2 linked regions of the Arabidopsis thaliana genome follow. The protein of the gene in region 1 interacts with the protein of each later gene in a pairwise test. Each region holds a gene or a part of one and is shown in the gene's direction. Other genes may lie near its edges.

Region 1 (4,160 bases):
TCCTTAACTGATTTTCGTTTTCCTGAGACAGATTTCTAGTGTGAAGAATCATTTCGAGCCATGTCTCCGGCTAAAGGTACGATCTTTTCATTGATAACCCCTTGAATCTCACTAGAACGTGATGGATTTGAATCTTCTACCATTAGTCTTTAGTTTTGATGGAGACGCTATTTAACTGGTCTAGATTAATGTTTTCAATCATGTTTCGTTAGGTGATTAGTTTCAATATCGTCCTCATTAGCTTCCACTAAGTGAGGTTAATAAAGTTTTCATTTTAATTCGTTTATATGTAGTCCTTCAAATTGGTCTATCTTGATCTGTACAGAATCTATTTACAATCTTCATAATTGATATCTAGTTACAGCAGACAAGGAGAGAAAAACCAACAACTGATTATCTTTCTTTCATTTCTCAGTCTCTTCCTTTGACCAAAACATTGAAGAAGCTCATTCAGTGAGTAGTCCAAGACGAGTTTTAAGCTTCTCGAAGAGAAATAAGCAAAAGCCTGGTTTCCAAGATACAGACAGTAGAAGGTCATCTTCATTTAGAGCATCAGAAGTGCATGGACCTAAACCCTCAGAGGTGTACGGTTTCGTAGGATCGATATCGACTGTTGTTGCCACAGTCATCTTCTTGGTATGGGCATATGTTCCAGATAAGTTGTTGGAGTCTATAGGAATCCATTACTACCCTAGTAGGTATTGGGTATTGGCTATGCCAACGTATTTGATGGTGACTCTGATGTTAGCTTTGGCTTTTTACATTGGTCTCAACTTCATCGCCACTCCACCCCCAACCTCTCTCAATACCTTGTTTGGTGAGTGCCCGCACCGCTCTTTAATTTCCTCTCATCTGATGTTATTGGAGATATGAGAAATTGTTTCCTAAAAATCTGTTTTCTCAAGTAAGTGCTCGCTGTGTCATTACAATAGCTAGAGCTAGAATGCTTCGAAATGTTGGATCTGCAGGGCGTGGTTTTGGGAGTTTGCTTAGGATGATAATTCTAGTTATGTTTGTTTGTTTGGTATGGCAGATGAGTACAGTAGAGAACCTGGTGAATTTGCTGCTGGGATGGAGGAAGGTGAAGACAGGCCTATAGATCCAATCTCTGACATTGATATTACAAGAATAAATGATCTTATGTTCAATTCAAGTGATTAAAATTTCAAATTCTCTAGAGGTAGTAACCATATTGACTAAGCCATTACTCTCATTAGTAAATGGATTCAGGTTTTAGTGACTAGTAGAGTGATCACGTGTAAAAGGAGATTGTGATTAATGATTATCTCCAGTCCAGTGATGGATCCTGCACTATCTTTCTTCTTATATGTCAACCATTACCAGTAGAAATCATCAAGAGAAACTCAAGTTTGGTAATTGACCCGTAAAACATGATTATATAAAAACTTATGCATGCTTTTTTTTACAAGCCTGGATGTCCGAAAATGAAGTACAATAATCTATCAAGAAAAACACTAACCATAAAAAAAAAATGTGTTTAAGAGAAATAATTTAAATTGTTTCAGTATAAATATAAGTAAATATAATCAAACATTCAGTGAAAAAAAAAAAAAAATCAAACATTCAGACCATTTTAGAACCCACCTTGGGAAAACCACAAATTAGCAGTTTTCTCTCAGAGACCAATTCTCTCAATCTCCGTCGTGCGCTTTTGCTTGATTTTGTAATGTAAGACTTGTGTTTGGCATTTTGTGATTTCCGTTTTATTTGCTTCTTCTTCTCTACTCTTCTGTATTGGTAGAGTTTAATTCTCGTCACCAAATTTTCGAGTTTTGTTCGAACTAAAACTCAAAATCTGGGACTGGAGGGATATTTCTCTCCTGGGTTCATTTGACTATGATCTTCGAGGTAGCAAAATTGATACTTTATGGATTGATATAACAGAGAATCAAATTTTGGTAGATTAGGTTATTTTCTACTGTTATAAGACGATTGCTCATACCAATTTGACTAGTGTTTTATGGGTTTGGGATTTAACCATTGTCCAAATTGTTAACTTTGGCTAATTATGGTATAGAAGGAATCTGAGGAATTGATACAAGTGGGCTCTGATGGGAACCATAGACTTTAGAGCTGCTGCAGATGAAAACTCCATTGTGGATCTCAGCAGTCAAGTTCACCAGCTCCCTTGCTGCATTAGATTTGATGGTCCTGTTGAAGTTTCCCACTATTTCAAGCCTAAATCTAGCGGTAACAAACAACACTTGTATGTTTATGTATTTCTGGTTTTCACTTATGTGTTGTATTCTATAGTGAGATTAATGTGGAAAGCTGTTGAATTTGTAGATGTTGAAATCGATGGAGTAAAAACGGAAGAAGCTCATTTCAGAGGAAGGAAGTTGCAGGGAGCAACTATCTCACTCCCTAGTGGCTATTCTGGTACCTTTTTTTTCTTACTGAGAAAAAGTTGCAAACTTTTGATTTCTTACGGATGTTTATCAAAGTATGATTGGATGAATGTTACACATTCCTGTTGATGGAGATTTTAGTTAGAGAGTTTTGACATGTCCTGAAGAATCTGCTACTATTGGTATCATTATGGTGTTGAAGAATTTTATGTTTTGGTTATTGACAATTCGTTTGTGTTTGACATGTTCAGGCTTTGTGCTTAGACAAGCGAGTAACTTGAATGCTAATGGAAAGAGAAAAGCTTCTATGCCCACAGAAGATAACCAGTGTTGGGAAGTGAAGGCGAAATTCAATAACCTGACATACTGGAATCACGATAGTCTTCCTTCAAAGGACGATACTTTCTTTCGCTCTTTTCATTGGTTTAGCATTGCAGAAGCGGTGAGTGTATAGTTCCATCCATCTCTTGTTGGCTTAGCTCATAAGTTTTTCTGTTCCTAACTTGATGGAGAACAATGGTTTGTCTGCAGCTGCATAAACCAGTGAAAGTTGAAGACTTGGTTGCAGTTTCACATGGTGGAAAGAATAAAATATGAAGTGGCAATTACCGTTTCGGGTTTTGAACAAAACATCTTGTGAAACTAGCAAGTAAGTGATCTATGACATGAAATTCTCAAGGCTTGTTGGCTTCAGGCTTGTTCGAGCCTGGATCATGTATTTCTTCTGTAAGCTGTTTTTTATAAGAAATGAAAATCATATTATTCTTTAGAGAAATCAGTTCAATTTCCTTTAATAACAGTCATTACAAGCATTGGAATTTTTATCTCTGGTCTAAGACTCTCCTCCATGAGTGTTTTTTGGTCTGTTTTATGATTTGAAAAATCTTCGAAAACCAAAGGTGAACAAATATGTTGTGGAGTATATTTGATAAGCTATTATATTTTCTGCTATGATTATGATTTTTGGAAATGAAATTAGAAGAAAATATTAGTCTATTTTAGTTTTAGTTTTTTACTTGTTTCCAAATACATATTTTTGTAATTTCTTATTCTTTTCTTGTAAATTTTTAACCTAATCGGTTTATATTATTCAATTTTATGATTGTAATTGTCATCAGAACAAAGTCAATGCAATCCATTGAATTTTCATAATAGATAATTTTGTATACTAAGGTAATAAGATATAATTGTAATCAGATCTTAGTGAATAATCCCTAAATTAAATCTAAGTTTAAAATGCATATATGAGCAATGATATAGTTGTCTTTTTAGTGACTTTTCAATATGTAGGTTTCTCATTTTTGTCTATTCTATCTTCTTCTGTTTTGGGTCAAATTATCTATGTGGTTCTATTATTCAGTTTCCAAATAAAACAAAATATTTTTTTTTTCTTTCAACCATACATTAATTAAAAAGAAACTCCATAATTGGTTACCCAATTAAGAGGAAAAGTATTTACAAAGGTAACTTCAGAAAATAAAAATCTAGAAGAGCGAGTTAAGCAGTCCGCTCTAACATTACATGAGCGAGAGATAAGGGAAAGCGAGAAAAGGGAGAAAGAAACGCGTAAGACTCCAAGATCTTCTAGCAGATTGGAGAAAGCGGGTCATCTTCTAGCAGATTGGAGAAAGCGGGTCATTCTTCAGGTGACTGTACCACATAAATTAAAATAAAACAAAATCTAAAAATAATAAATCTGCATATAATAAATCTGACTTAAATTATATATGATAGCCTAAGAAATGGTTTGTTGTCGTTTAAACTTTTGGGAAATTGAATAAGAATCCAAGT
Region 2 (5,244 bases), on another chromosome or scaffold:
ATATAAGTCGCGATTATATTCCGTGTAATTTTTGTTTGAAGCAGGGGTCGAAAACGCATATGGGAGGCACTATGAGGTTAGGCTCAAGAAGAACTTATTTTCATTCTAAGGACTCCAAATCAGCAAGACTGTAAGCACGAAGTTCTTTCTCCACCCAAAAGAGTTTCATCTTTATGCATCTTTGAGCTTAACCTATATATTATGATGCGTTTGAATGTTTCAGATATGGGAACAAAAGTTTTGTAGATGAAAGACACCGACACAGATATGAGGTATTTAAGCATCCGACACAGTTTTGTGGCAGCTCTCAGAGTATACAAAAAAAACGCATCTCTTTGACATTTTAAGCTAAAACAAGATGCTTTCTTACAGGTGAATCCAGCCATGGTTCCACGTTTTGAGAGCTCTGGACTCACATTCACAGGAAAAGACGAGACAGGGCAGCGAATGGAGGTAAAAACGGATCTTTTACACCACAAAAAATTTCATCTTCTTGATTATAATTCTTGACATTTGAAAATACAGATCATTGAACTGCCTAACCATCCGTTTTACGTCGGAGCTCAGTTCCATCCCGAGTACAAATCAAGACCCGGAAAACCATCTCCTCTGTTTCTAGGTGAAGAGAAACATAAAAATAATGCAAAAGCCCTCGGTTTCTTTCTTCGTGTAAGCACATACCTTAACTAAAACCTTTTTTTGAATTAAAAATTGCAGGACTAATTGGAGCAGCTAGTGGAGAACTAGACACTGTTCTGCTACAAAGCTACCAAGAAACCGTCGTTCCACGTTCTCTACCCAACGGAAAACTAGAGAGAGTTTACTGGAAAGGTGCAGCGAAGAAGCCAGTCAGTGTTGTGTACAGTTTATGTGATCGTGTCTACTCGTGAACACCGTATCTGCATCAACAATGACTTCTCTCTAAAAAAGCTATTTATCCGGAATTTTTAACATGGATTTCTTCACCTGTGGAGGGAGAGAGAAGGCAATGAGTTTGTACAGTTTGAAGATTGGCTTTTTATGAGATGCTTTTCTTAAGATTATGAAGTAGAAGATGAACACTAAGCACAAGCAGCATTAAAACATATATTACCTTTGTCTTTTGTAATGGGTAGTATTTAAAGAGAGTCTTGGGATTGACTCTCTGTCTCCGTTGCTGTGTTTCTTAGATTCTTATGTAGTAGTATTAATCAGTAGCTTTTTCCTTTTGCTCTTTTTTTTTTTTGGGTTGTTATGGTTTAAACATTTCCAGAGAAGTACCGATGTTTTTCCGGTACATAGTTTGATTTCTCTGTATGTTAATGTAGCCTTTTCTCTGTTATTTGAATGGTTATAAAACTAGTTCTCTTTTTACTTGTGTTTTGATTTCACAAAATGGTGCATCTCTAGAAGGTCTTGTTGTATGTCCTTTCTTGAAGTTGGTGAAAATGCAAGTTTCTCGACGGTTTTGTTTAATCCGTTGGACTTGTCGTGCTAAAAATGTCTAGTTTCTTAGCGAAGAGACTAAACCAACTCAAACAAAGCGTTTGAGACTTAAGCGGGCGTTTCTTTTTAAGTTGTTATGGGCCTAGTCTTTTTTGGTGATAGCGCAGGCCCATATTTAAATGCGCGCGCTACTTCGGTTATGGCGCCAATCTGGTGAATATAATCGTCGCTTCTCTGTTTGATCCAAATCTTTTGGGGTTGAATATTGTACACCAACTGTTCGATGAAATGTCTTACAGAGATTTCGTCCTGATTCATTTACCTCACTAATTGCGAGCCTTCTTGCCGTCGTCACGGTATGCTACCTAATTGGTGTTAAGGGTTGTCGTAATCTTCAATCTTTTCTCGCCTAGCTCTCGTTTTAGGCTTTTGTAAAGTTTACTTCAGTTTTAGGAAAGAGTATCGTCTTCTATGAGTTTGATATAGCTTGTACTTGGCTCGGCTGAATTATGGCTCTTTAACCCTTCCTTGGGACTTTTGTCTTATTGGTGTCAGAATTCGTAGAAATTTAGGTTTGCTAAAGCTTGAAGATGAGTTCTACTGTTTGGTGGGAAGGAGCTGAGAAGACACGAGTTCTCATAGCCCCAGGTTCTCTCTTTAACTATACATTCTGTTCTGAGACGGATTTGCAAATTAGATGCTGCAATGGTGTATGAATGTCTATGAAAAATGTTGGTCAATGTTTATATATCAATGATTGGCGAAGTTAGATTTGAATAAGAAATGAGCTTTAGTTATATCCGGTAAGCTTATGTAGACTGTTTAGTTCGTTAAATAGATATACTCATCATAATTGAAAGGATGTGCTGATGACTATTTAAAGTTGAATCTTTCCTTGGCTATGATAGTTGGAAGTCTTAGATGCTTTAAAGAAGAACTTGACCATTTTTTTGCTTCATATGTAAAGATTCAGGTTGTGGCGGAAACAAACCCGGAGAACTGTTAACACTCCGCCATCCAAAATCAGGTAATGGGATGTTGATGATTGTCAGGCTTGCTATGTTGTGTTTTGGGGAAAACTTCAGCTAGTAACATCTTTTGTGGTTTGGTATCTTTGCTTCTATGCCAGAAAATGGAACATGCTTCCTTTTTAATAATGAGATGCTTCAAGAACTTCAGTGGTTTAAGCAATCTTATGGTTCTTGGTTCTTGGGAGATTACATATCTGAAGGTAAATGCTAAATTTCGAATCATAATAATATGTGAGCCAGCATCAATGTTTATACAAATATTATATTCCTTATGTTCATGACGGTTTACTATTTACAGATGGAAGCTTATATATGGCCACTCCAGTTGATCCTGTTTTCATATTGTTGCCTATTTTCGACGAAGCAAGAATGAAGGTCACTCTATGATCCTTTGCTCTTCTCAATTCATTATGTCCTGTCTGATTTCCATTTCTCAGAAATGTTGATAGTGTTCTTAAATTGTCGATCTGTAGAAAGGTGAAAATTCTGGAAAGTTCAGGCAACTAGATGAGATTTTATTTGTGGAAGGATATCCTGGATATCAACATTTGTTGTCACTTGCAGAGAAGTGTATGGAAATCGTTTGTCAAACTCAAGGTACATTCCCACTGTTTAGTTATGGAAGTCATAGTTGCACACACTTATCGAAACCATAATTTTCAGATTTCCTGGTCTTTCTTCTTGTAGAATTTTTTAATCCTTCTTATATGCATATTATCTGTATGTTTCTCATCACTCTTGAAGAGCTTGGTGATCTCTAGTTGTTCAATTTCCTCATTCTCTTGTTCTCTTCTTGCAGAGGTTGGATCGATGAAGTTCTATCGGCTTGATAACTCGAAAGTCTTAGCTTGGTTAAGTTGTAAGGTATGCTCTTGTCAGAAGATTATTTATTACAGTCTTCTCTACAATCCAGTTGAAATTTTCATGATATATTCGCCATTTGAAAGTGATACATGGGTCTGAATCACTATGTTTTGTGCATCACATATGTTTCAGGGATGAGGCATGTCTAATGCTTATATATCTTTTTGGGTATTGCCTAACGAAAATTATTTATTTGCAGAGAAGCTGATTTAATGCTGCCTGCACTCTAATTGTTTTTTGTTTGGCATTCTATAATTCTTGTCTTTCTGCATGGATTTGAAGAAAAGAGAATGCAAGTAAGCTCGTATCTGTTTTATTTAGATCCTTAACGTGCCTGCACTTTTATGAACGCAGATCTACTGTTTAAAGAATTCTCTACCGGAATTGGACAAAAACTATGCAGCTCAAGATGAGAAACAAACATGTAAGTCCTAGAACAGAGATCATTTTACTTGCTTGAAGTTGACCCTTAAAGAGGTGATATGACATGTCTTTTCACTGATATCACCTTTAATCTGTACAGTGGTAGATTCCGTCTCAATTGTAGGAGAGTACCTGAAGACCGAGCCTTGGTTGAAGCTTCTATATGATCATCTTGGGTACTTTTTCAAAATTAAAATATGAAATCTTCAACCAATCAGCTAAAGCGAATCATATAGCTCCTGACAGAAGCATTCATTTTGTCTGGTTTATTTTACAGACTCAAATTTGTTGACCCGACGATGAAAGAAACCAATATGGAGAATCTTCCAACTGCAAATGAGAATAACATGGCATCATCAAATTCAATACAGGTGTGTGTATGCAAAAACTGTAGGCAAGAGTTCTAAGTTCCATATATTTGTGTTCCTTGTTCTTGGTTACTAACTGTCCTTGTTTACATTTGTTAGGAGAAAGCGAATAAGAAGCCAGGAAAACAGACAAAGCAAGCAAAGGTAGAGACTGGATCAAAGAACATAAGGGATATGTTTTCAAGGGCTTGTAAGAAAAAATGCTGAATGTTCAAAATCGGTTAAAACTAGCCAACTATTTATGATTATTCTATTATGCTATCGGATGATCTTCGCTTAGCTATAACATCTTGAACAAAGACCCAACTCCCAAATGTGTTTATTCTATATTTCTAGCAAATGTCGTGAGAATACATGAGAATCATTGTAATTTGTAAACTAAAGATTGTAACAATTATTACAATTACAAGAAAATTCAGGCTCAATATGAATTTAGAACCGCATGATCATCCATTTATGAGGTTCAGTTCCGGGAACTGCTGCCGTTAAGGTTCTGGAAAAGCTCGGGAAGATGGGCATTGGTGAGTTTGGTTCTCTTGCTGATCTCTTGTTTCTTCTTCTTCTTATCCTTTGGTTTATTCGATATGCCATGCGTCTGTGCAGCAGCTCTCCTCTCTGCAGTGTTTGTCGCCGGCTTCAAACCGATTTTCAGCAGCTCCTTCTCCACGTCCAGCATGTCGTTCGGGATGTTTATGTCACGGAATAGAGCTTTAAATTCGTCATCAACCTTAATCTCACACTTGAAATCATTTGGGTATGCAATGTCCTCTTGTGAATTTGATAGCAAGTAGATGTCCCCTGAAGCACTCAGAGCCTGCAAAATACAAGACAGTCTTGAAACTTTCAATACCTTCCTGGTTTGGTTTCAAAGAGTAACATATATTTTCCCCATCTGCTTAGCAAAATACAGCAGTTCCTACAACTTTTGACGCCGCAGAAAACACAATATAAGACAGGATCCCGGTATGGTTTTCAGTCATACTCCACCTAGAAATAAGCTGTCTAATTGATTGTCCAACCAAAAACCAATGCTTAGAGAACTTTCATTTCTCATGCCACCATTCATATCAGAATTGCTACCAAGAATCTACGGGATACATTTCTGTCATCTTTGTGTCTTGCCAATTATAACA

Evidence for each region.
Region 2: the proteins of AT2G39440 (region 1) and AT4G20325 interact in a two-hybrid assay, tested with the Arabidopsis thaliana proteins (one study listed by BioGRID).

Annotation. Positions count from the first base shown.
Region 1 is NC_003071.7:16,467,026-16,471,185, reverse strand, and holds AT2G39440 (ribonuclease H2 subunit C-like protein), read left to right. Parts: upstream 1-1,557; 5' UTR 1,558-1,689; exon of another isoform or gene 1,690-1,869; intron 1,870-2,038; 5' UTR 2,039-2,072; coding exon 2,073-2,211; intron 2,212-2,307; coding exon 2,308-2,400; intron 2,401-2,620; coding exon 2,621-2,811; intron 2,812-2,900; coding exon 2,901-2,966; 3' UTR 2,967-3,356; downstream 3,357-4,160. Other genes in the region: AT2G39445 (Phosphatidylinositol N-acetylglucosaminyltransferase, GPI19/PIG-P subunit), read left to right, coding at 61-76, 416-817, 1,034-1,161.
Region 2 is NC_003075.7:10,978,109-10,983,352, forward strand, and holds AT4G20325 (ribonuclease H2 subunit B), read left to right. Parts: upstream 1-1,632; 5' UTR 1,633-1,781; intron 1,782-1,980; 5' UTR 1,981-2,015; coding exon 2,016-2,073; intron 2,074-2,392; coding exon 2,393-2,452; intron 2,453-2,554; coding exon 2,555-2,656; intron 2,657-2,754; coding exon 2,755-2,831; intron 2,832-2,929; coding exon 2,930-3,053; intron 3,054-3,255; coding exon 3,256-3,320; intron 3,321-3,519; coding exon of another isoform or gene 3,520-3,528; exon of another isoform or gene 3,529-3,674; coding exon 3,675-3,744; intron 3,745-3,843; coding exon 3,844-3,919; intron 3,920-4,020; coding exon 4,021-4,114; intron 4,115-4,210; coding exon 4,211-4,318; 3' UTR 4,319-4,538; downstream 4,539-5,244. Other genes in the region: AT4G20320 (CTP synthase family protein), read left to right, coding at 45-130, 224-272, 373-453, 526-619, 718-890; AT4G20330 (Transcription initiation factor TFIIE, beta subunit), read right to left, coding at 4,575-4,925.